Linked DNA regions of Drosophila melanogaster. The protein of the gene in region 2 purifies or fractionates together with the protein of the main gene of each other region. This does not show direct contact. Each region holds a gene or a part of one and is shown on either strand. Other genes may lie near its edges.

Evidence for each region.
Region 1: the proteins of cathD (region 2) and Mcad purify together in Drosophila melanogaster (affinity purification with mass spectrometry, with the first as the bait; one large-scale study listed by BioGRID). This does not show direct contact.
Region 3: the proteins of cathD (region 2) and Droj2 purify together in Drosophila melanogaster (affinity purification with mass spectrometry, with the first as the bait; one large-scale study listed by BioGRID). This does not show direct contact.
Region 4: the proteins of cathD (region 2) and Cyp12d1-p purify together in Drosophila melanogaster (affinity purification with mass spectrometry, with the first as the bait; one large-scale study listed by BioGRID). This does not show direct contact.

Annotation. Positions count from the first base shown.
Region 1 is NT_037436.4:7,717,287-7,722,436, forward strand, and holds Mcad (Medium-chain acyl-CoA dehydrogenase), read left to right. Parts: upstream 1-2,063; 5' UTR 2,064-2,153; coding exon 2,154-2,171; intron 2,172-2,612; exon of another isoform or gene 2,613-2,773; coding exon 2,774-3,130; exon of another isoform or gene 3,131-3,190; coding exon 3,191-4,075; 3' UTR 4,076-4,186; downstream 4,187-5,150. Other genes in the region: CG7457 (uncharacterized protein), read right to left, coding at 4,612-5,150.
Region 2 is NT_033778.4:7,819,845-7,825,664, reverse strand, and holds the start of cathD (cathepsin D), read left to right. Parts: upstream 1-2,095; 5' UTR 2,096-2,198; coding exon 2,199-3,116; intron 3,117-3,179; coding exon 3,180-3,440; 3' UTR 3,441-3,554; intron 3,555-5,820. Other genes in the region: phr (photorepair), read right to left, coding at 1-65, 120-161; CG30383 (uncharacterized protein), read left to right, coding at 542-973, 1,207-1,539.
Region 3 is NT_033777.3:13,379,680-13,386,025, forward strand, and holds Droj2 (DnaJ-like-2), read left to right. Parts: upstream 1-2,426; 5' UTR 2,427-2,465; exon of another isoform or gene 2,466-2,524; 5' UTR 2,525-2,579; intron 2,580-3,142; exon of another isoform or gene 3,143-3,433; intron 3,434-3,585; exon of another isoform or gene 3,586-3,784; 5' UTR 3,785-3,799; coding exon 3,800-4,900; intron 4,901-4,990; coding exon 4,991-5,101; 3' UTR 5,102-5,604; downstream 5,605-6,346. Other genes in the region: CG8870 (uncharacterized protein), read left to right, coding at 461-533, 590-1,139, 1,217-1,664; mRpS21 (mitochondrial ribosomal protein S21), read right to left, coding at 1,708-1,824, 1,884-2,030; CG9799 (uncharacterized protein), read right to left, coding at 6,031-6,346.
Region 4 is NT_033778.4:11,116,063-11,123,773, forward strand, and holds Cyp12d1-p (cytochrome P450 12d1 proximal), read right to left. Parts: upstream 5,823-7,711; 5' UTR 5,787-5,822; coding exon 5,685-5,786; intron 5,625-5,684; coding exon 5,299-5,624; intron 5,245-5,298; coding exon 5,128-5,244; intron 5,064-5,127; coding exon 4,043-5,063; 3' UTR 1,163-4,042; downstream 1-1,162.

The DNA.
Region 1 (5,150 bases), on a different chromosome or scaffold from region 2:
CGTGACCATCTGTATTAAAGGGAACCAACCCATTCCCCAGATCCCAATCCAATGATGTAATCCTAGGCAGGACAACTCACCGCACTCTGGTGTCCTGTGGGGCAGTGCTCGTGCTTGTTGGGATGGTGGTGGGTCTGTTGCTTGTGGCTGGCACCACCGTTTGCTCCTTCATGGTGGAAGATCTGCTCGTGCTGATGCTGGAAGTACTCGTAGTGACCGACATGATCCGGATGGTGTTCCGTTGGCGGTGAATGGATCCTCGACGGTGGGCTGTGGTGCTGTCCCTTGGCGGCGTGGCCGGAGGTGGTGCTATGATGCGCTGCCTGCTTCTGTGAATGGCCACCTGCTCCTCCATGATGACCACCGCTGCTGGTATGATGACCATGTCCGTGGGCATGATGGTGATTGTGGGTTGGCGGCGAGGGCATGTTGTGGCCGCTGTGGGGCAGATGCGACGAGTGCTGCACACCCACCTGATGTCCGTGGTGGTGAGGAACATGACCTTGGGACGCCTCCATCAGCGTTGGCTGGATGTGGGTCACAAACTGGGCCATTTTGCCGCAACCTTCAACTACTGCTCCCTTTTTGTTGTGGTTTCTTTGAGGTTTGGGCTTAGGTAACACTTGTTTAAAATTTCACTCCTCTATGAGGCGGTTTTTTTTTTTGGGAAGGCGGGGGTGGCACTTTTATATGTATCCCAAAAGTGGGAGTGGGTAGCACAAAAAAACACACACTACGGCTGGCTTGCGGACGAGTTGTGGGCGACGGAGGATTTGGGCTCGGACCGTGGACAACCTTCTCGCAGGAGCAATGTCAAATGACTGACTAGGAGCAGCTATCCCAGTTGGGCCTTAGACGCCACAGGACTCGCCACCCGCCATCGCACCACCCGAACCACTTCGGCTCCAGCTCGGCTGTGCGCGTTCGTCCTCGTCGTGGCGGAAGAGCTTTAACCGGACCCAGTTTTATGCGCCTGGCCTGGCTGATAAGAGATACCACTCGCTTCAACGGCTGATTACGACTTTGGATGGCTGCGGATGCTGATTTAATGATGTCTTCGTGCCGCGCCACGTAGTGCTCTGTTTTTTATATCTGCCTGTCAACTGTGTCACGGATTTCCAATTCGTTTCGCTGGAGATTTTTTTGTCGCTGGGAGGCGGGGCTGCAATCTGTTATTTTTAAAACAGCCAGAGGAACATGTTCCGTCTATTTGTGTCAAGCGGGAAAGTATGCTCCGATTGTTAAGCACCTAACAGGTGGCAGCGAAGTCTAACGACTAGGGACTATCCTGTTGGTTCTTATTTTATTATTTAACATATCAAATCATGTTTTAAATGTTTTGAATATGGAAAAATGGGGTTAAAAAGTTAAAGCGAATGAAACCTATAATTATCTAATTGTCTCTACATTTTATTCTAAACTAACCAAAATATAGTATATTACTATTTAATATGAATTATCCCTCAATGACCTCTGCCGACGAACATTTTCAAGCCTAATATACCCGATTGTATTATTTTATACCTATTGCCCAGAAGCAATACGTTACGTTGTGAACTGAAAGCTTTTACCTTACGTAGATTGCTGGGCATTACGTTAAAGCTATGTTTTATTAAGCTTATTTCGTAGGGTATTTCGTGTGGTACATTGATATCTTAAAAAAGGGGGTGTGTCTCTTCATACACATATGCCTATGTACTTGACAAAACCTGGATGAAATGTACAGTTGGTATTTTAAAAATATTTTACAATACAATTTATTTATATAAGCATTATATTACAATTAAGGCGAGGTACAAACAAATTTGTTAACTCTTCGAAAAGCTTTGGGAAAGTTCCATCAACAGCGCATACAAATGTCTGCGAAATCTTCCCTTATCTCAACCTCCTGCATATATTTGTAGGTGCATATGCTTGTAGTTCGTTCGTCACCACGATTCTGTAGCTTTTGCGACTGCCAGCGCAACAAGGTCCAATGTCCAAGCGTCGCTGCCATATCGCGATGAACCAATGTACATATGTATGTACATATATAACATCGCTATACCGGCGCATCGGCAACTCGTTTGGATCATTTCGCTGGCAGCCACCGACGAGTTAGCAAGGCGACCTAGTTAAAACTCAGGAAAATACGAAAATAAACCCACATTCAAATGGCGTTCCTCAACAAGGTGAGCATATCAGTCAATTTACAACGCAGAGAAAGTGAAAAACACATCGCTGGGACATATCATATCCAAAGGTCCAAAGTTCTATCACGCTAGTGACGACAGCAACTGTTGATCGTAGGATCATACATACATATACATATGTACCTACCAACAAACATATATTCGAGTGGGTTCCGTTTCGAAAACAATTTGTTGCTGCCTATCTGTTAGCAATCATCTGTACTTTGCCCCCCCTGAGAAAGTATTATTAGCGGCGTCTAATGGCGGCTTATCGTGCACTCTATTTAAATCGGAATGCAAACTTTATGGGCAGGCATATTCGTTATCTGTTTTATGAAAAAAATAGAATGTGATGGTTGGTTATGAACCTCAAACATCCAAAGTCCCTTGTAAATATAAAAAAAACCTTCGTCTATGATCATGATGTTGTATTAATTAAATACATACGTAGTTGGCCCATTTTATTTGTTGCTTGTAGTTAAGATTAATTCGCGGTCAACTTTGTTGTTGTTCTGATTATTTCTACATTTTCATTTTGCATTTCGATAAACACTTGTTTACCAGTTGACTTTAAATCCGATATCCAATATCCGAAAATCCAGCTTGCTGCGCCTGCCCTGCGCCAGTTGGTGTCCCAAAGTCGCGCCTACGCCGCCGTGTCACACGTTTCGCCCAATGGCACCTCTTTCGCACTCACCGAGGATCAGCTGCAGCTGCAGGAACTGGCACGTAAGTTCACCCGTGAGGAGATCATCCCGGTGGCCGCCCAGTACGACAAGAGCGGCGAGTACCCGTGGCCCATCATCAAGAAGGCCTGGGAACTGGGCCTGATGAACAACCACATTCCTGCTGATATTGGTGGCCTGGATCTCGATGTGTTCACCACCTGCTTGTCGGCCGAGGAGTTGGCCTATGGCTGCACTGGCATCATGACCGCCTTAGAGGCTAGTGGTCTGGGCGTAAGTTTAAAGTCATGTCTATTTACGGCAAGATGATCGAAACGCCACGTTCTTTCATAGCAAACTCCTGTGATCCTGTCCGGTAACAAGGAACAGAAGAAAAAGTACCTGGGCCGCCTGCTGGAGGAGCCACTTGTCGCCGCCTATTGTGTTACAGAGCCCGGAGCAGGATCCGATGTGTCCGGCATCAAGACACGCGCCGAGAAGAAGGGTGATGAGTGGGTAATCAACGGCCAGAAGATGTGGATCACCAACGGTGGTGTGGCGAACTGGTACTTTGTGCTGGCCCGCACCAATCCGGATCCCAAGTGCCCGCCCAGCAAGGCCTTCACCGGGTTCATTGTGGAGCGCGACAGTCCCGGACTAACGCCCGGCCGCAAGGAGTTGAACATGGGACAGCGCGCCTCCGACACGCGTGGCATCACCTTCGAGGATGTGCGCGTGCCCAAGGAAAATGTGCTGATTGGCGAGGGTGCCGGTTTCAAAATTGCCATGGGCACCTTTGATAAGACGCGTCCTCCAGTTGCTGCCGGAGCTGTGGGTTTGGCCCAGCGTTGCTTGGATGAGGCTCTTAAATACGCGCTGGAACGCAAGACCTTTGGCGTGCCCATCGCTTACCACCAGGCTGTGCAGTTCATGCTGGCTGATATGGCCATCGGTGTGGAGACATCCCGTCTGGCGTGGCGTCTCTCCGCCTGGGAAATCGACCAGGGACGCCGCAACAGCTACTATGCCTCCATTGCCAAGTGCCATGCCGCCGATATGGCCAACAAGATTGCCTCCGATGCCGTCCAGATCTTTGGAGGCAACGGCTTCAACAGCGAGTATCCCGTGGAGAAGCTGATGCGTGATGCCAAGATCTACCAAATCTACGAAGGTACTTCTCAGATCCAGCGCCTCATCATTTCCCGAAACATGTACGAGGCTGCTAAGGGTCAAGCCTAAGTCAGTTTTAACTAGGATTCCTCATCTCCATTCACCTCATCAGTTGTCATGCTCATTGTAGACACATTCACAAATCCGATTAATAAAGTACAATAAGTAAATAATTACAAGAAAATATAAATCATTGATTGTGATTTGTCTGTTGAGGGAAATGTTGTATAAATGGCACTTGGTAATTTCTAAGGAATTACTTATTCCTCAAGTGTATAAAAGGAAGGAAGAAGTAAGCAAACAGTCAGTGCGTTAGTATGTTTACTAATTCTTAATATTTCAAGTTTCTCTAATCTTGCCCTCACTTACCCCCAAAATTGTAGAGTCTAGACCATCGCAAATTATTTCGCTAGCTATCATCCATTGATAAGATAAGCCCTGTGGGGGCTGAGTGTTTGTTCTACTTAGGTTCAACGAATCGCTGTTCTGCTATCAACTGAACGATAAGACTTACTGTACTTAGATTTGCTATATAATTGTCAAACAATAAAAAATGCTCTGGGACATACAACACAAGGAAATGGTTTACACATGATGAGACTACACTATTCCGCATCGCTTCCATCAGCGAGTAGCTTAAGTAGACCTTTGTACCGCCTTCCAATTTTCCGGCTATTTGATGTGGTCAACATTTTGGCCTTGTCTCCAAATTGCAGCTGCCAAATGGACTGAAGTGTTTCCAGGGCTCCTGGCATGGAGAACACCTGCTCATCAACTGTTAATTCTAAGCGCCTGGGCAGCTGCTTTAGTTGTTCGAGTTTTTGCAGACGAATGTCATCCAGTAGATTTGTACAATTAACGGCCAAAAGATCGCGTAATTGAGGTAGTTCATCTAATATGTATCCAAGAGTAGTTCCACTTAAATTGCTATTATCACTGATATCCAACATCTGTAGTTGTTTGGCTTTGGCCAAATGCTGGCTGATATTGTACATATGCGCATCGTTCAAGCCGCAGCCAGCGAGCTGCACTCCGACAAATCGCTCGCAGGTACCACCTTCGAAAAGCGTAACCAGGCGCTCACTCAACGCAAATCCACTTGCATCGTCGAGGGGCCAGCGCACATAACTGAGATTCAATTGCT
Region 2 (5,820 bases):
GCTGCCTTTTTGGAAGGACCTGCCTTCTGCGCCTTCGTACGCTTCATCGCCTGCAGCGGAAGAACCTGAACATGAATGAAAAATCGTGATTTGATTTTTACTAATTCGATTTAACCCACAATCTTGAATGATTCGCGCCAATATGAAGCAAGTGTAAACATAACTGTATAACGATATGGCGACTCTATCAGCTGTTCAATGAGAGTGAAAATTATGCTAGTAGCCGCACTCCAAATACACTTCCCTTGGAAGAGAAATTATTATGAATTAACATAAATAAAGAATTAAGTATTATGTTTAAATTTATATTAGTAGATTTTTTTTTGGCATAATATTTTAAGGAAAGTTGTGGCTTTCGGTTTTGAAATACATTTAACTCCAGATGTTCCTATTTCCTAAACATTCCCTAAGATTTCAATAGTCTCAGTGCCGCATACGATACACAGCAGTTATCGATTACAAAAAGAGTGCAGATCTGAAAGCGCACGTTGAAATTAAACCGATTCTTTACTGTTTTATAATAAAATGTTTTATATTGGGAATGAAAATGGACGAAACTGTGGACGAAGCGGAATTTAATGCCAATATCGGCCGTATTGCTCGATCTACGCTTTTGCACGATGCTGAACAATCGATCCACAGGGAGTTGATCGACTACGCTGTTGCGTCGTGCCGTCTGTTTTACATCCAGGATGCTTCAGCCTGGAAGGAGTGGAACACCAGGAACGAGGCTTTCAGGGATCTCACTGCCAAGGAAGTGTGCCATTTATTCCTAACCGAAGTTCTGCCCCAACTGGACACCTATCAGCTTTCGGAGATGGCCCAAAAACGCCTTAAGCTTCTGGATCTGCATCCATTCTTCAGGCGCGTTGCCCAAGGCTACCAGTACACTCCGGATTGTGACCTTGCAGCTCGATTTGTAGTCCAGCGCCAGAAACATTTTATCCAACCTGAAGATATCAAGAAGATTAAGGTAAGCATATCTGTCGGCGAATAATTTTGATGCCAATTTACTATGTACATGCATAAATATGAATGTATTTACTTAAAATTGCTTTCGTTAATAAACAATAAGTACCCTTTTTTTAATTTAATTTAATCTATCCTTATGCAGTTATCCGGGCACTTACACATCACATTATAATCTTATATCTCTTACTCTCTTAATCCAATAGTATGATATTAATTTTTGCTCGATTTTTATAGAAAGGCGATTCCCTGAAAAGATGCCAAACCGTGCTCATGGAAAGCGATGAAATGGAGCAGAAAACCTGCGTTGGGTATCGAAGCAAAGTCTCCATGGAGTCCGCCGTTCTGTTCTCGGTACTGTTGTCCACCAACCATGAGCTTTCTATTGGAAAGATGCTCGATATGAGTGAGATTCACGAAAGAATGCGGCGCGCCAAACAGTCATTCGAGGATACTGCTAGAGTTACTCCGTTCCGAACGAACATTGATGACCTAATCTCCGATTTGGATGTCTGTGCTAAGGTCAAATCCAAACTTTGTCGAGTAATAAGTGATTGTAAAAAGTACTAGAAAGGATTAGCTATATCTTTTATCTATATTTAATACTTTTATTTCATTTTAATCAATAGTATAAAATTATTTCTCTGGATTTTAGGTGACTATAAGAAGACTATTTTTGTAATATTTTTGAACCATTTAAGCTCAAAATACAACTTACTATTCATATTTTAATATATAATTCCATGTTATCATGAATTTATTAGAATTTATATATACAAGTAAAGATTCGAAATTCAGCTTCGACCCGCTCCTTACGATTGTTATCTATATTATCAATTAATACATTAAGGTTGCTCATCATAATTGTTAATTGTTTGCTCATAAAAGCGTTTAAAAATGAAAGATGGGAAATACTTTTTTAGCTTTCCCTTATTGTCTCTAAAGTAAGATCGTAGTCATGATACAAGCTCTTCCTAAATGTGTAGAAATAATGATACATTTGTATTATATATACATAAACGCGAAATATTAAAAAGAAACATTCCGAAAATTAAAGAATTGCATTAGTTTACAACAAAAACTATCGAATCTCTCTAATCAAAACGACGCGCCAAGCCAAATTTAGTACATTATCTGTGCTGAATCATTTTCGCTGTGCCGCAATATTTAATTAACTGCAGCGATCATTGCAGTTTTAGCCACCAGAGAAGCGTAACATAGAAATCAAAATGCAGAAGGTTGCACTGCTTCTAGTCGCCTTCCTGGCTGCGGCCGTGGCCCACCCAAATTCGCAGGAGAAGCCCGGATTGCTGCGCGTACCGCTCCACAAATTTCAGTCGGCCCGCCGGCACTTTGCGGATGTGGGCACGGAGCTGCAGCAATTGCGCATTAGGTACGGCGGAGGTGATGTGCCGGAACCGCTGTCCAACTATATGGACGCGCAGTACTATGGGCCCATTGCCATTGGCTCGCCACCGCAGAACTTCCGTGTGGTTTTCGACACCGGCTCCTCGAACTTGTGGGTGCCGTCCAAGAAGTGCCACCTGACCAACATCGCCTGTTTGATGCACAACAAGTACGATGCCTCCAAGTCGAAGACCTACACCAAGAACGGCACTGAGTTCGCCATCCAGTATGGCTCGGGCAGCTTGTCCGGATACCTGTCCACGGATACGGTGTCCATTGCCGGCCTGGACATCAAGGATCAGACATTCGCTGAGGCGCTCAGTGAGCCGGGCCTGGTCTTCGTAGCTGCCAAGTTCGACGGCATCCTAGGCCTGGGCTACAACTCCATCTCGGTGGACAAGGTGAAGCCGCCATTTTACGCCATGTACGAACAGGGTTTGATCTCCGCTCCGGTGTTCTCATTCTACCTGAATCGCGATCCCGCCTCGCCCGAGGGCGGTGAGATCATCTTTGGCGGCTCCGATCCCAACCACTACACTGGTGAATTCACCTACTTGCCCGTTACCCGCAAGGCCTACTGGCAAATCAAGATGGATGCCGCCTCCATTGGCGATTTGCAGCTGTGCAAGGGCGGTTGCCAGGTGATCGCTGACACCGGTACCTCACTAATTGCTGCGCCCTTGGAAGAGGCCACCTCTATTAACCAGAAGATTGGTGGAACTCCCATCATCGGTGGTCAGGTGAGTACCATGCTCTAAGTTCTCACATGAAGCACTGCTAATCCTCTTAATTTCTTACTTTAGTATGTGGTTTCTTGCGATCTCATTCCCCAATTGCCGGTAATCAAGTTTGTGCTGGGCGGAAAGACCTTCGAGCTCGAGGGCAAGGACTATATTCTCCGTGTGGCCCAGATGGGTAAGACCATCTGTCTGTCCGGCTTTATGGGCTTGGACATCCCCCCTCCAAACGGACCCTTGTGGATCCTCGGTGACGTTTTCATTGGCAAATACTACACCGAGTTTGACATGGGCAACGATCGTGTGGGCTTCGCCGATGCCAAATAATCGAACAAAGAAAAGTATACTTAAAATTTAAATTGTAAACATTATCGATCGATCCCATTGCGGGTTTCTCCGAAGAATAATATATAAATTATCATTTTAGTAGATTTTCCATATATTTATTAGCGTAAGTTTATTAATTACAATAGGGCTTGCGCGGTCTGCACTTAATGAGACGAATAGTAAGTACGTGGCGATGACCGACGCTTCTAATCTTCCAAAATCGACTAACTTAAGTATAGCAAGAGTTCTTATCTCTAAAGCTTAACAAGTTACAGTTTCTTATAGGTAAAGCTCGATCTATAGATGGGAAAAGCACTTGAGGCTTACGACTATATTTCGGGTGTTTTGTGATTGTGTTAACTCCTCCCCTTCTAAGACGAAGGCTGTCCACAGACTTTTTACAATTGGCAAATCTATTTGAAAGCGGATCTTACGGGTAACATTGGTTGTGCACTAAGTTCCCATACTGCCAACCTGGTACTGCGTTAAACCATCGAAGGGAAGGCAGCTCTGCGTGTCTGGATGATCCGAGAAGTTCGTAAATGCTGCTGATTCTCCATGTCATGGGTTCGCAACAAGGTTCTGGAGATGATCGTAGCGAACTTGGAAAAAATCTTTATTGTAACCGTCGACTTGTTGACGACGATGATGCTGATGTTGGTTGAACTAGTTGACCATCAAAACGTATGTGTTGAACGCACTCTGGTTGGCGTCTGATGGCAGATATTATTCAGTTCGTCGTTTCAGTACCCAGGCGCAGAAATAGTTGCCGCATCTTTACGTCTTTAGCAGATACTACGTTGATAGATCTTAATTCCCTCTTCTACTCTTCTCATCTACTTAAGAGGTAGTTACAGTTTTAATACTAAAGTTTTGACAATAATTAAGTATAACAATTATAATTTTATAATAAAGTTCATTCAGATATTTTTGATATTAAAGTATGTAGTAAAACGCTTATTGATTGCAAGTATTGATTTTCCTATTTAGTTGAACAGAATCAGGAAAGGGTATTGATAACATTAGTGTTTTATTTTTTTTTAATCGGGAATTTGAAATCTAATTAGAGTGAGTGCGCTATACTGTTATTATGCCGTTTTGGTAATGCATTTATTTTCTATGGTAGTTTCAGGAAATATTTGTGGTTGCGTGGACTTTAAGTTTTCAAATCATTCGGGTCTAGCATTTCATCACATACCTTTAAAATTTTCTAAAGAGGATGAAGCGGAAATAATACAAAATGTTTAAAGATTAAATAAGAAGGATTTGACAAATATTTAATTGAAAAATGTTTGCAAACTCTTTTACTAGTGTTCAGATTTCACGTTTGTATTTTGCTAACTTGGCGATGGTCACAAAAGGAAAAGAAATACTAAACCTAGCGTAGATTATCTTTATGAACGACCCTCCCTTTTATGAGGACCGTTGTCCCGAGGTCTGCTTCGATTAGTTCTTCCCTATACCGTGGGGTTAGTTTATTTCCCAAGCGATTGTTTTGTTTTACCATGACGGTTTCTCCCACCTCAAAGGTTCTGTCTCGTCTTGTTACATTTTCTCTTCTTAGCTGTTTTTCCTGAGCTTCGTTAACCATTTCTACTATCTCGTTAGCCAATTCGGGAGGAGTTGAATGAATAATGTCGATCGGTCTTCTATTGGTGACTGAGTGCACCGTCTTATTGTATTCTATTGTTGCCTGAAGAATAAGGTTGACTGTATCATTCATTCCACTGTCAAGTTTCAGGCATCGAGCTATTTCTAAAAGCGTGCTGTGAAACCTTTCAACCTGTCCGTTTGAGGTACTATGAAGTGGAGGTGCGTTCGCTATGTCAACATTAAAACGATTTTTCAAAAGTGACTTGATTGACTCGGAATTTATGGACGGTTCATTGTCACAAAATATTGTCTTTGAATGGGGAAAAAAGTTCATTAGTTGCATAATTGCAGGTTCTAAATCAGTTATCGTTCGAGAGCCGATTGGTTGCACAATAGCGAATTTGGAAAATTTGTCAATACATGTCAAAAAGTAATTCCTGTCCGTAGAAAATATATCAATATGCAATGTCTCGCCTACATGTGACGGAATAGGTGTTCTCCCGAGGATTTGCTTTTGCGGATGGCGGTCGTATTTGGCTTTTTGACAAACCAAGCAGTTAGAAACAAAGGTAGCGGCTATTTGTGACATTTTAGGGAAAAAGTAGTATTGAAGAATTTGTTTTACATTCTCCTGTGCTGCCCTATGCGCTCTGTTGTGCTCCAAAGACACTATTTCCCGTTGCTCAGTTTGATTAAAAATGTCGCTGACCATTTTCATAGTGTGTCGGAAGGTTGTTGCTGGAAAGTCATTTACAAGACTGTTTTGAATGAAAGCTAGTACAGGTAA
Region 3 (6,346 bases), on a different chromosome or scaffold from region 2:
TCGACCTGACTTGTAACTTGTTTTATCTCTCAGATTTCTAGTTTACGTGAAAAGGTAGGCAGGTCTGCTGCGTTCGAGGAAAGAAAGTATTCTGAGCCGTATACCGTGGAACACTGCGGCCACAAAAGCTTCATTTTGTCTCTCCTGCCGCAAAAAGCTATCTAAGTTATTCTCATAAAGAGAGAAAATCACTCAAAGCACACATATGGTACTCAACAGCAAAATTCTAACCAGAAACCGTTTTCTGCATCCGAAACTGTTTTCATAATGACATTTTTAAATAGTTCCGTAATATTTGAGAGCTCTGTCGCTACTAGCATAAAAAATTGTTCTTTTGATGAGCAATAAATTGATTAAAAATTGAATAAAACTACTCAGAACAATGTTAAAAATAAGAATAAATAGCTTCGACAGTCCTAACAGTCTTGAACAGTTGTATGTGAAATATTCGTGGATCAACATGTTGTTCGGACTTATAGGATCATTTTTGCTTATGCTGCAAATAATTCTTGTGCCTTATTCAAATGGTGCAGGTAACTTTCAGCATGCATAAACTTTGTACGCAATTTAAAATCTATCCTTCCTTCAGGGTGTCAATTTGATACGGAATGCGTGAATCTGGATAAGTGTCCCAGGACCAGAGCAGTTATGAACTCATCCAGGAAAAATATAATAGGTCTTAGAAGATGCGGCACTAATAAAGTGTGCTGCCCCAAGTGGGAAACGTATCTGCCACACGATACTTGTGGACAATCAAGAAGAAAACCTACGAAGGGCAAAATACCGGCGCTGAATGAGTTTCCCTGGATGGCCATGCTGTTATATGGAAATAAAAACAATTTGTCCCAGAAGCTGGTACCAAAATGTGGTGGATCCCTAATAAACAACTGGTACGTCCTGACCGCAGCGCACTGCGTGGAGTATCCATTTATGGACTATCCGTATGCCCTCAAAACAGTGAGACTGGGCGAACATAACACGTCCACAAATCCCGATCGGGCTATTGTGAATGGAAGAAGACAGTACGCTCCTCTTTATATGGAAATTGAAGTGGACCAAATTATTACGCATGAACAATTCAACCGGGGAAGGCGGCTGATAAACGACATAGCACTCGTGCGTCTTAAGTTTCCTGTGCGGTGAGTAATGATTCTCCTCTGGTCGAAATAGAAGTAGGATATGAATTGAAATAATATATCTTTATATCTTCCTATAGCTATACGAGAGCCATCCAACCTATTTGCCTTCCAAGAGCCCAAAAATTGGCCGCGCATAAGCGAAAGTTTCAAGCATCCGGCTGGCCAGACATGGGACAAGGAATTGCAAGTGAGGTACTCTTGCGCAGCTTCATCGCGGAACGGCATCCAGATGTGTGCAAATCAAATTATGACTTTAATTTGGGCAGTCAGATATGTGCTGGTGGTCTGGATGGGAATGACACCAGTCCCGGCGATTCCGGGGGACCCTTAATGGAGACCGTGATACGTGGAAAGGTCACACTCACTTATGCAGCCGGCATAATCTCCTACGGACAGAAGCCCTGCGTACTTAAAACTTGCAAGCCAGCATTTTACACAAAAACTTCATACTTTTTTGAATGGATAAAATCGAAATTGCAAAGTCCATTTATCGACAGCGACAGCAAATCTCGTACTAGAAAATAAGCAATTTATTTAATTCCTACATTTTATTGCCTCAAAAACTAGTTTAACTGCATCCAGGAAAAGGTTCGGCGCGATTTTTGCGCAGTACGAACTGAATTTTTCGGTTCATGTCCTCGTTGTAAATGGCCTTGCATTTCTCGAAGTTGATGCGACGACGAACCTATACAATAGTTTAATACAGTAAATAATAATAAATAGTTAAGTTATTTAAAGTCGAACCTGATACGGCTTTTCGTAGAATCGCGTGCGGCGAAATTGGTCGAGCAGTTCTTCTTTTCCCAAGACGCGATTTAACAGACGACACGCCTCCTCCACATTATTGTTTTGCACCAGAACGGTGCGGGCCAGAAACTGCACGTGTCTCATTTCGGATAAGTAGTTTTATTTTATAAAGTTTTCCAAATGTTTATTAAATAATCGGCTTTCAAAACAGTGTGACCATTTACTGTACTGCTAAACAGCTGATGAATATCACTAACCAGGGCTAACGATTGCTAATAAGAATCGTGGACTCAGAAGGAGTACTTTGAGAACCACTCAACTTAATAAATAAGAAAAATATTTATTCAACACAGTATTTATTAATGCATTGCCAAAATTATTTCTGTAATGCCCATCACACTTAAGAAATACATATTATATCCCATCAAATTATCAAAAATTGCTAATCACCTGAAAATGACTAAAATACCAGTTTTCGGACCTTTGCGGTGCGAGGCAACCCTGATGTTGTGGTTTTTCTTGCCGTTTGCCGCTCTGGTCACACTGGTTTCCAGTTTTCTTCCTAGCGTGGCGGCCATAGTAAGCTGTTGAAAAGTATTCGACGTAAATTAAATTTGTTGTAAAAGTGAAACTTCCAGGAATCGGGCTGCGAAAGTTACTATTTGCTTTAGGCACGACACGACACGAAAAAAGGTGAGCTGGGGCGGCTCTGGGCTAATTAAGATTACCACCTGATTTTGCACATTTCGTCTCGCATTGTGCGGTTTGCCAATGTGTGTGTCTACTTGGTAGACACTTCCTTTGCGCTTGGTTTTCTCATCTCTGTCGTTAAGTAATCATCGATAATTGTTTTTTGTCAGAGAATTTGCCTTCGATTTTTGGCATTAGATTTGCAAAATCGATGGCCATCTAGCTTTTTTTCTCTTCTTTGTTCAATCGAATTCTTCTGACGCAGCGTCTTGCGCGGCACATGTTGGTACGCATACAAGCGCAAAGTCTGGTGCATGTGTGTGCTAGGCACTGGTGAAAATATAATAATTGTATCTATTGATTTGCCTGCTAAATCGAAGGCTGCTTCTAGAATTCATTTCCATTCTTATTTTCGACTCTGCCCTTTCTCCTTTCATTTGTTCCCCTTTTCGTTCTTTTACGGTTTTTTCATTATTACCCTCTCCGCTTTGCAGTCGCCGTTCGCAAAACCAGGGCTGCAATGCGCTGACGAAAACTTCTAGAAACTGTGTGTATGTGTGCGTGCGAAAGAGAAGCGGTTGTTGTCGAAAGGGGGAAAGAGAGCGTCAGCTGCTCGCCGTATTGAAATACGACAATTGTTCTAGAAAATCGACTAGAAAACGTCGCAGTTATTTTCGCGAACACATGGCGGCGTAACGACCTTGAATCCCGGGCTCTAGCTTCCGGCAATGCCTACTATTTTCCGTTGCCCCCCAAATTACACGGAAAAAAATGGGTGATGGCATCAAGTCACAGCTGTAGAAATCAATAAACAAGAAAGGGTCATATGATCGAGTGGTTTCTGGATTTTGAAAAATGTATTTCTACAAAAAAAAATGGGTAACAAAATATAGGTTACTGATTTTTGTTTACAATACTAGTTAGAGAGGAATCAGCCCTTTGAACTATGAAATGTCATTAGATATAAAACTGACAATAACTTCCATCGGGAACCTAGCTGCCATAGAAACAGCACCACAAAATAAATTTTTTTTTTTCATTTTTTATAAGAACTGGCATCCAAATCGGTTGAAACTTCAAAAATTTTCGGTATTACACAACTTCATAATTTCTACCTATATATGCCTGGAGCATACACAAATCTGTTCCCCAATCTGTTATTTACAAGCTCCCAGATAGTAATTACGCACTACTTCGTCTGTTCACAGTAAACAGCAAACAAAATGGTTAAGGAGACTGGATATTATGATATACTTGGCGTGAAGCCTAATGCCACGCCCGACGAGCTGAAGAAGGCTTACCGCAAGCTGGCCCTCAAGTACCATCCGGACAAGAACCCCAACGAGGGCGAGAAATTCAAGGCCATTTCGCAGGCTTACGAAGTGCTGTCCGATGCGGACAAGCGACAGGTGTACGACGAAGGCGGCGAGGCGGCCATCAAGAAGGGCGGCGCAGATTCCGGTGACTTCCGCAATCCTATGGACTTCTTTGAGAAGTTCTTTGGCGCTGGATTCGGAGGTAGTGGCGGTGGACGCAGGCGCGAGAGGCGTGGCAAGGACGTGGTGCACCAGATGTCCGTACAGCTGGAGGAGCTGTACAATGGAGCGACCCGCAAGCTGCAGCTCCAGAAGAATGTGATCTGCGACAAGTGCGAGGGTCGCGGCGGCAAGAAGGGCAGCATTGAGAAGTGCTTGCAGTGCCGTGGTAACGGTGTGGAGACACGGGTTCAGCAGATCGCCCCCGGCATCATGCAGCACATCGAGCAGGTGTGCCGCAAGTGTTCGGGAACTGGCGAGACCATTCAGGAGAAGGACCGCTGCAAGAACTGCAGTGGCCGCAAAACGGTGCGGGAACGCAAGGTATTGGAAGTGCACATTGAGAAGGGAATGCGGGATGGCCAGAAGATCGTGTTCACGGGAGAGGGCGATCATGAGCCGGAATCTCAGCCGGGCGATATTATTATTCTTTTGGACGAGAAGGAGCACTCCACATTCGCGCACGCCGGACAGGATTTAATGATGAAGATGCCGTTGCAACTTGTCGAAGCGCTCTGCGGATTCCAGCGAATCGTTAAAACGCTCGATGATCGCGATCTGATTGTGTCCACACAGCCCGGCGAGGTTATCAGGCATGAGATGACCAAGTGTATTGCCGAGGAGGGTATGCCCATTTTCAAGAACCCCATGGAGAAGGGCACGTTGATCATCCAGTTCGAGGTGATCTTCCCGGAGGTGATCAATCCGTCGGTGGTGCCCACGCTTAAACAGTGCCTACCCCCGGCGCCGGAGGTTGACATTCCAATCGATGCAGAGCAGACGGTTTTGGTGAGTATTTCAGTAGTAGTTTATATCACGATATATAAATAATATATTATTTATAATTAATTTATTTATCGATTTGCTTATCTTTCGCAGGAGGACTTTGATCCCAAGCAACGTCGCCAGCAACACCAGCGCATGGCCTACGATGAGGACGATGGCGGCTATCAGGATGGCCCACGCGTCCAGCAGTGCACATCGAGTTAAGCGCCCCCGCTGCGTGTTGCATCCCCGGACACACAGCCCTAATAATACCCCAACCAACAAGCCGTAATAATATGTAAACCAGCTCCCGGAACACTGTAATTGCGCTTGCAAGTGCCGAAGAACTCCCAAAAGCACCTTAAAACACCATCCAATTCACACTAGGAGGCCCAACCAATCGAGAGATCTAAAGTTATTTCATGCAAGCTACGATATTTAGGTATAAATCAAAGAAACTTATCAGATATATGCACTATGTCTATAACGCGTGGTTGTTTGTAAACCAACATTTTTCTTTATGTTTATGTTGCGTTGGATTGTCAAAGAATCGAAAACGGAAACTGAAACTAAACTAAACTGAAATTGAAATTAGCCGCCACTAGAACCGTATCTAAAGTCCGCGCCAGCGAACACGTCTAGGAACAAGTTTAAGTTATTTAATTCCAGCATAAATAAAAGCGTTAGTTTAAACGGATATAACAAATAAATAATTAATACACAATTTCAACCCAAATGCTGTATATTCTTCTTCCCATAGTTCCAGTATCACTTGCCTTCCTCCGGCTATCTATTGATTCCATAATCGCTGCATAGTCACCCGCAGGTGTGAATCATTCGAATAATGCCAATTGGAGATATCAGGCATATGGCAGTAGTTTCGTCTTGAGTACATTATTTAAAATGCTATCTGGGATAAGTAAAAGATAAAAAGAAAGATAAGGATAGTTTGGGATATATATGGTAATGCCATTAAATCGTTAAGGATATAATGAGGGATTTTGTAGTTGTTGAGGATTATAAAGCATCCTATAAATGAATCTGCGGACCTGCCTGTCGCAAGGAATAACATCAAAAGCAAATTCAAAATGTAAAATGTTTTGTAAATTTATTTACAAAATTTCAAAATGAACTACAACATAATCTGGTGGAAACTAGTGCGCAAAGTTTCGGAGAGCGGCCACAACTCCAGTTCCATAGATGAGCTTCTCCTCCACACGCTGCCAAGCCTCCTGCTGCACCTGGGACACAGTGCGCAGCTCCTTTACCAAATCCGGGAACTCCGTCAACCCGAGACCGTGGGATCGCAAGAAGACGCTTAGATACGATTGAGCCAGCTCAAAGTTCAGATTGGTTCCAAACATGAACTTAACGAGTTTGAGGAACTGCAGCATGGCAAGGAGTGTTCCTCCAGCCTCCGGGTGCAGAGATTTGATCTCAAAGTCAACCATCGATGGTCCTAGTTGGGTC
Region 4 (7,711 bases), 3.3 Mb from region 2:
AGCACTTGACATTTTGGTGGTAGTTATTGCATAGTTCAGGTGCTTTTTGTAGTTTAAAACATTTTGAAACCCCTTTTAAGATATCACAAGCACAAAGCACAAAGGCGCACTCACACAATTGCGAACGGCAAGCGCCATGTGCGCCTGGCGGTATGCAATAGTTTCTGTTTCTCTTTCGTTTCCGTAAATGGTAGTGCGCGTATAGTAGTGTGCGTTTGCGTATGCGTGTGTGTGTGTGTGTGTGTGTGCGTTTTAGCCGACAAAGTGCAACACACAGCGCAATGACCGACGTACTCGAGCGTTGACTCGTTTCTGCGACAACTTTTCTCGCTCCTCGCCGATGGGAATAATGATCTCAGCGTAATGACGATTTTTAGCAGCCAGTAAGCTTGTTGATGCTGTGCCGATGACGTTGCGAACTCGCTCTCTCCGGGCCGCTCGCTCTCTCTTTCCCACACTCTCTCGGCCATTTTGCGGAAGTTTCAACTCACCGCAAAACGCTCCAAAATGAGCAGCCAAATTGCGAGTTCCTTCCTTAATTGCGCACTCGTATCGTTCATTTGTATTTGTATTCCCTCCCATCAGCATTTTCTCTTCGGCCATATAACAGTTTTCTCTTATACTTTCGCTTCGGTTTATAGCACGCACATTCCCGGTGACGTCACAAGGCTTTCCCAACGCTTTTTCCATAGAATCAGTTGTTGTTTGGGCTGCACAAGCCGGCAATGTAAACAAAACATAAAATATATGAATGGGTGAGTGAGTTGTGCGGGTGTCTGGGTTATTCGACTGCTTCGGCTGAGTGGGTGGCTGTTTTGGGTGGAAATTGGGTGACCCCGATGCACTGGTGTTGGTGCAAATTCGGCAATGCGTGTGCGCTGCGCCTGATGAATGAAAAGTTCGAGTGGCCGCGTGGAAAGCGGGAAAACATCTGAGCGTCAGCTGCACGGTCATATGTTTGATATTATTCCTGTGAAAGCGGAAAATGATTTTGAATATTAAAGGAAATCGATGCGGAAAATGTTTTGGAGTATTTAATAGCCATTAAATGGATAACGTAGATTTTGTCACAGGTTTATAAAATGTAGTTATAGGTAATATATTCACTAAAACAGAAACTGCCTTACACACTTTTAGTATATTGTTTTATTTACTTAAATTACCTAAGTAAATAAAAGTATTTTCAAATTGTTACAAAAAGCACACCCTTTTTTCTATTTTTGTTAATATTTGAATGCCCCACCAATCGATTGAATTTGAAGCCAATTCGTGATTCGGAAAGCGCAGAGTGTCCTGTATTAAATTCAGCCTTGCAGACAAATGCAAAAACCATCGACAGGCCGTGTCAGAAAACACACGAAAATCGAGTGAGCCCCAGAGCAATCGCATTTTAATTTGAATTCTTTCTGGTGAGGCCCTTACAAAAGCCCCCATGCGATGTGCACGACCAAAAAATGAACTTAAGTTTCGGCCAAGAATCTTGTTGAAGAATTTCTATTTGAGCATTTGTCATGTCTTCGCCTTAGTCTATAAAATATACTGTCGGTGGATGGGGACGCGGGGTGTGTGCAAATATGCGAAAGCTAAATGTCAGAGTCAACCCTTTCGCAGGCCATTCTGCCTGCTTTTTTTTCAGCCTTTTCTGGCCGGTGTTGCCGCCTTGGCCCCTTTTTTGGGTGGAAAGGAAAGTTTTTATCTTAAGCTGCGCGCTGACAGGCAGCAAAGCGGCAAGCGAGGCAACACAAGTACAAGCCGGACAAAGAAGCCAGGGGGAGTGGGGATGGGCTGGCCGAACGGAAAATGGGAAATGGAAAATGGACGGGCAACGACAAGGCGGGCAAACGTCAAGTTATAGAAAATGCTAGTGCCTGCACAATAAGAAAAGTGTCATCCGAATTGCTAATCAATGGAATGATGTTGAGGAGACTCAAAAGAAATTTAAAGACCTACTAATAAGAAAAAACTGAAAAATCATTAAGTTTTTAAACTATTCAAACATATTTAAATAATAATTTGTGCAAATTTATTATTGCTTAAAACAACTAAATAAAAATATATAATGTCATTCAAAGTTTCAAAAAAAATTTATTCAATTAAACAAAGGCCATTTTGTATCTTTTCAAAAGTATATGACTTAAAAATAGGTTCATTCATTTTGCTTATGCAAGCTAAGGACTCAGCTTTTTGTCAAAGTGCAGAAAAGGGGAATGAAACTGGTCTTAGAGGGAGAAAAAATTAAAGGACATGCTGAACGCATTCCTTGGGACACGGGCTGACAGTGAGTGATTTGACCATACCCTCATTTGCGTGCAGCAAGGACCAAGATCCGAGCTCTGGGTTCCGGGTTCCGGGGTTCCGACTACCGAGATCCAGGCACACCAATGGATTAATGTGCAAGGATGCGACTCGTCAGGCAGGCCAAGAAAATTACGTCAAGCTACGCAATGGGCCCGTGCCTTTCCCACTGCCCCCCACCACCCCACAACCTAACCAAATCCAACCCAGCCCAGCACAACCCAAACCATTATCCTTTTGGAAATCTGATGATGAGCGCCGACTGCTGCGGGCGGGCGACTCAAAATGGGAGTGACTCATTTACGCGCTGCACTCGAGTTTCAACCGGCAGCCGGCGAAGGAAAAGCGGGACTCCGAGAACTTTTCCAAGCTATTTCTGCGCCCAAATGACAGCGAAATGTAATAATGAAAAACTTTTTCTTTGTCAACTTGATGAGTATGAAATTTTTCACAAAAAAAAAAAAAGAAAAAAGATTAAATAAAATAAAAGACGAGCGGCAAAGGAACGGGTTGAGCTTGGGTGGCAGGGCGGTGAGCTAGAAATATGAAACGTCAGGACTGGTCCTTAGTCTTAGGTTGGCCTTAGTCTTGGTTGGCCTTCGAGATTAGTTATGGCAAAGGAATTTCCAAGCGAAGGCGCACGCAAATGATTGCATGCCGCATTACGCATACGCCCGGTTGTGCGTGGCCGGTTTTAAAATTGAATTTTAATATACAGCAGACACAAAGAGATGTACATGACCATATGTATATGTATATAGCTGATCCCTGGCCATGGCTGCTATAAGCCAGGTTATCCAGCCACCCCGAAAAAACACATGTTCTGCATTTTTACTTTGTACTGGACCAGGACCCACGGTCCATCATCCCTACCATTTTGCTGCTGCACCGCATCGGGGATTGCGGAATTCATAAGCTATGTGCGTTTGCTACAAAAGTGGAATTTTCGCCACGCCAAAGGATACCCGCTTGCAGGCTCCCAGCTCACAGTTCCCACTTCCCGTTTCCTAGATCCTGAGCATGCCATTAACCCACTCGCAAAAAGCGCAAAATCGCTTAAATTATTGTTACAAGCTGCCAGTGCCAAGTGGCAGGCACAGCAACAGCAAAAACAAGAACAAGACCAGGGGGGCAGGTGGCAGGTGGCAGGTGGCACAGGGCAAACCACCTGAGCTTTTGGCCGCGCTTTGCTTTGAGTGCCAGTTAGCATAACTCCGCAGGCCGCAGGCGAATATGTCTGTTGTTGCTGCTTTTGCCGCTTTGCTACTCTCCTGATGTTGGGTGCTGCTCCTGATTTTGCTGTTGCCGTTAGAAGTATTTGTGGCGCGGCAAAGGACATCCTCTCGGCAGCCCGTTCTCACCTGCCTGCCAAGCTGCAAGCTCCAGCTGAAAGTGTCTTTGGTGAGCGCTACCCACCACCTAAATATACAAAGTGTGGGGGAAAAACAAGAAAAATAACAACCTACAATAGTCTCTTCTTTGTTACCTAAAAATATAAGAAAAGCACACCTCGCAATTGTGTTGAAAAAAACAAATTGATACGAAAAAAAGCGATAGGGATGCCACAACAAAGCGCAATCTTATCAAACGTATTAAACATTTTGCTTATCAAAACAGCGAGGTTTGCACAACAATGCGAAATAGGAGGAGGCAAAATTCTTATCTGCATTTCATCAGTCAAACATTTACTGTAATCAAAAATCGCAACTATAAGGAACACAAGTAAAGGCCACAAATGAGAAGCAAATTATTGTTCGATATCCGTGAATTTGAAGGGGAACGTAATGGCCGGTTCCATGACGAACATGGTCTTGAATGGACGGCTGGCATCCCGATTGAACTCCACATGGAAATTGCGAATCAACTTGGCCACTGTGGTCTCCATTTCCAGATCCACCACCCGTTTGCCAATGCACATGCGGGGTCCAAAGCCAAAGGGAAGGAACGTGAAGGGGCTGACCTGCATCTTCTTTCCGGTCTCCGGATCCCTTAACCAGCGCTCCGGCAGAAATTCATCTGGTCGTGGATAATATGTAGCTTCCTTCATCAGCACATTTGAGCCGAGCAGGACAGTCGTTCCCTTGGGCACCCGGTAACCCGAAAGTATCACATCATTTTGGCAGGTTCTCATGGTTCCCAAGCCATTGGGATAGTATCGCAGTGTCTCCTTGATCACAGCCCTCAAATATGGCATATCCTTCATGTTCTCCTCGTTGAGTAGGGAATCCTTTGTGGGCATGATGCTCAAGAGCTCCTCCCGCAGTTTGGCCTGCTTATCCGGATGCTTTGAGAGGCAGAGTAAAACAGCCGACAGAAGCGTGGCTGTGGCATCCACACCAGCGAATAGGATGTCCAGACTCATAATCACCGCCACCTTGGGATCGATCTCCATTAATCTCTCCAGCATACTGTTACTATTTATTTTTTCGCCAGCCTGGCGGCGCTTTTCCAGTGCATCCTGATTTTCCTTCAGCATTTTCTGGGCCACATTCAAACTGTCATTGAGAGTTCGCTTCATTTTCCTGTAGGTGGGCGTCGATATGATCTTCCACATGGAGGGCTGAATGTCTAGCTTAAATGTGAGACGGAAAATATCCCTCGAGGTCTGGAAGAGGGTCAATGCATCGGAATTATCGCGGTTTTTTCTAATCAGACCCATTTGCCGATCGAAAGCCACCAGGCCGAGTGACTCGAAAACAAGCCGGCTTATTTCATCCGTAAAATCTTCGGGGACTTCTAGAGTTTTTGGATCGCGGATTTCCTTAATGCTGCACAGTAAAATGGAATTTATTGCTATATATAAATAACAATTCAATAACAAAAATTTCTTACCGCTCTATAAACTCATTATTGATATTAGACAATGGTTCATAATACATTCTCAAGCCCCTGGGTTGCATAAAGATGGGATTAATGGCTGATCGTAGTTTTCCCCATGCCTCATTTTGTCTGAAATATTCAAATTCAATTGTTTCCTTGCTACTTATTAGATTTTATACTCACGAAGCCACCAATCCTTGAACCTCACCGTAAACATCTGGTCGAACGTGTTCGCGGAAATATACAATGGAATCCAGGCCATCACGACGTGGCCAGATACCCTCGTTGCGGAATACCATCTCAATGTCCTTTGTGTTGAAAGTGGTGACCCAATCCTTGCGGCCAAACATTCCGGGCATTACATAGATATCTCCATAGCGCTTTCGCATGGCACTGGTGTATTCCGTAATCGATGCATTTTGGAATTCACCACCGGGCATGAAAGCCCTCATAAATTTGAATTTGTTGGGCCGCGGAATCTCATCGTAGGTCTTGTGCTCCTCCGTTATCTATAATTGGAAACTAATAACATGATAAATCTATTTCGACTGGATTTTGTGCATACTAACACTAGATTTAGCTTGTTCATGTGCCAAAACGGAGGCTGATCTTGAAGATCGAACGGGACCCACGTAAATCGCCACAGATCGCGCACTGCTCAATGTATTCATTCTATTCCTTTTGGTGATCAACTGCAACTAAAAACAGTTCCACTTTCGAGAACGTTCTTATACCAAAGGCTTATCTCTAAAACGTAGAAAAGAGAGGAGAGCGAATAACTTGAAATGCTTCAAAATGCAAAAATCTCAAACAAAAACAAAAGCCAGCAAACAAAGCATGAGTTTCATTTTCTTATCAGCTGAACGGTATAATCGCCGTGAATTGCCTACCTCACTCAACTGAAAAAATAAACAAATGAACGTGACTGGCTAGAAAAACAAATTGAGAGCGTTGGAACTTACAATAAATACACCTCAGAGAATTTGATACTACTATTACGACTATTACATACCCGTTACTCATTTAGTGGGATCGCTAGAAAAAAATCTAAAATATTTAAATATTTTTTAAAAATTTATAAGGATTCTAGTTCAACGGTAGACAATTTCAAGATAAATAACCAAATTAAAGAAAAATAAAAACAATTCTTAGAGTTGATCCTTGTTCTCTTTGCATACTGATATTTTATTTATTTTTTATTTTATTTATTTACTGGCGCCGCTTTTCCACAGAGTCCTCGGTGTCCTTTATCATTTTCTGTGAGAACATTAAGATGTCATCGAGAAGACGCATCATCATCCGAAAGTTTGGAGTGGAGATAAATCTCCACATTGATGGCTGTATATTCAATTGAAAGGCATATCTGAACATCGTGCTTCGTGTTTTGGAACACAGTCAATGCATCTGGATCGTCTCGATTTCGACTGATCAAACCCATTGGGCGATCGAAAGCCACCAAGCCAAGGGATTCGAAAACCAGGCGGCATCTCCAGAGTTCTAGCATCTCGAATTTCTTTAATGTTGGAGAAAAAGTAAAACTCAGGTGGACATCGAAATATACAAGTATGAATTAATTCTTAGCGCTCAATGAACTAGTTGTTGAACTCATAATAAGTTTTCAATCCTTTGGGTTGCATAAAAATTGAATTGACGGCTGATCGCATCTTGCCCCACAACGCTGCTTGCCTTAAATTATAGTTTCCAAATTAACTTCCGCTTTTGATATACATATGTAATTATTTGGTAACTTACGCGAATATCAGACCCACACTTTCTCCATAAATGGAAATATGTGATCGAGGGAAAGAAATCCTTTTCCGGCCAAGTTCCCTCACTGCGGAAAACAGTCTCGATATTCTTTGTACTAAATGTGGTGACTCAATCCTTGCGACCAAACATTCCAGGCATTATGAAGATATCACCATAACAACTTCTCATCGCTGCTGCATAATCCAAAATTGAGGCATCGTGAAATTCTCCACCCGGCATAAATGCCCTTGCAAATTCCTGTTTTCTGGGAAGTGGAATGTTCTTATAGGATCTCGCTTCAGTGACTACACTATCGGCTACCTTAATATCCAGATCACATATGTATGTTAGTGGAATACCCGATTGTGGTGATAGTATTTCAACTCACATTGGCCAAAATCTGTGCCTGACTAGAAGATGCCCTCACAAGCTGAATGGATTGCGCATTCTGCGCAATACTCATAGTTAATTTTATTAACTGCTTGCCTAAAATGACAACTGAGCTGGGAAGCCTGCCAAAATGCTTATATAGCATCGCATCCCAAGAGGAATAACAAAACGATTCTCTACAAATTGAAAAGCTGCAATCCAGCATGACTCCTAAGAATTCCCACCATCACAGTGATAGAAAGCGAAATTATTGCCGTAAGTCAAGAAAGCTTGATACTGCTAAAAAAATATCAACCGCTCATATTCAATATAAGTATGTTATTGTTCAGACATAGGCTTATATGCTCAGTAGAAGATATGTTTTATTTTGATTTCTGTCGGAATGCCTTTTAGTAACATCCTTTAGTAACATCTCTTTAAACAGCGAGGTTTGCACAACAATGCGAAATAGGAGGAG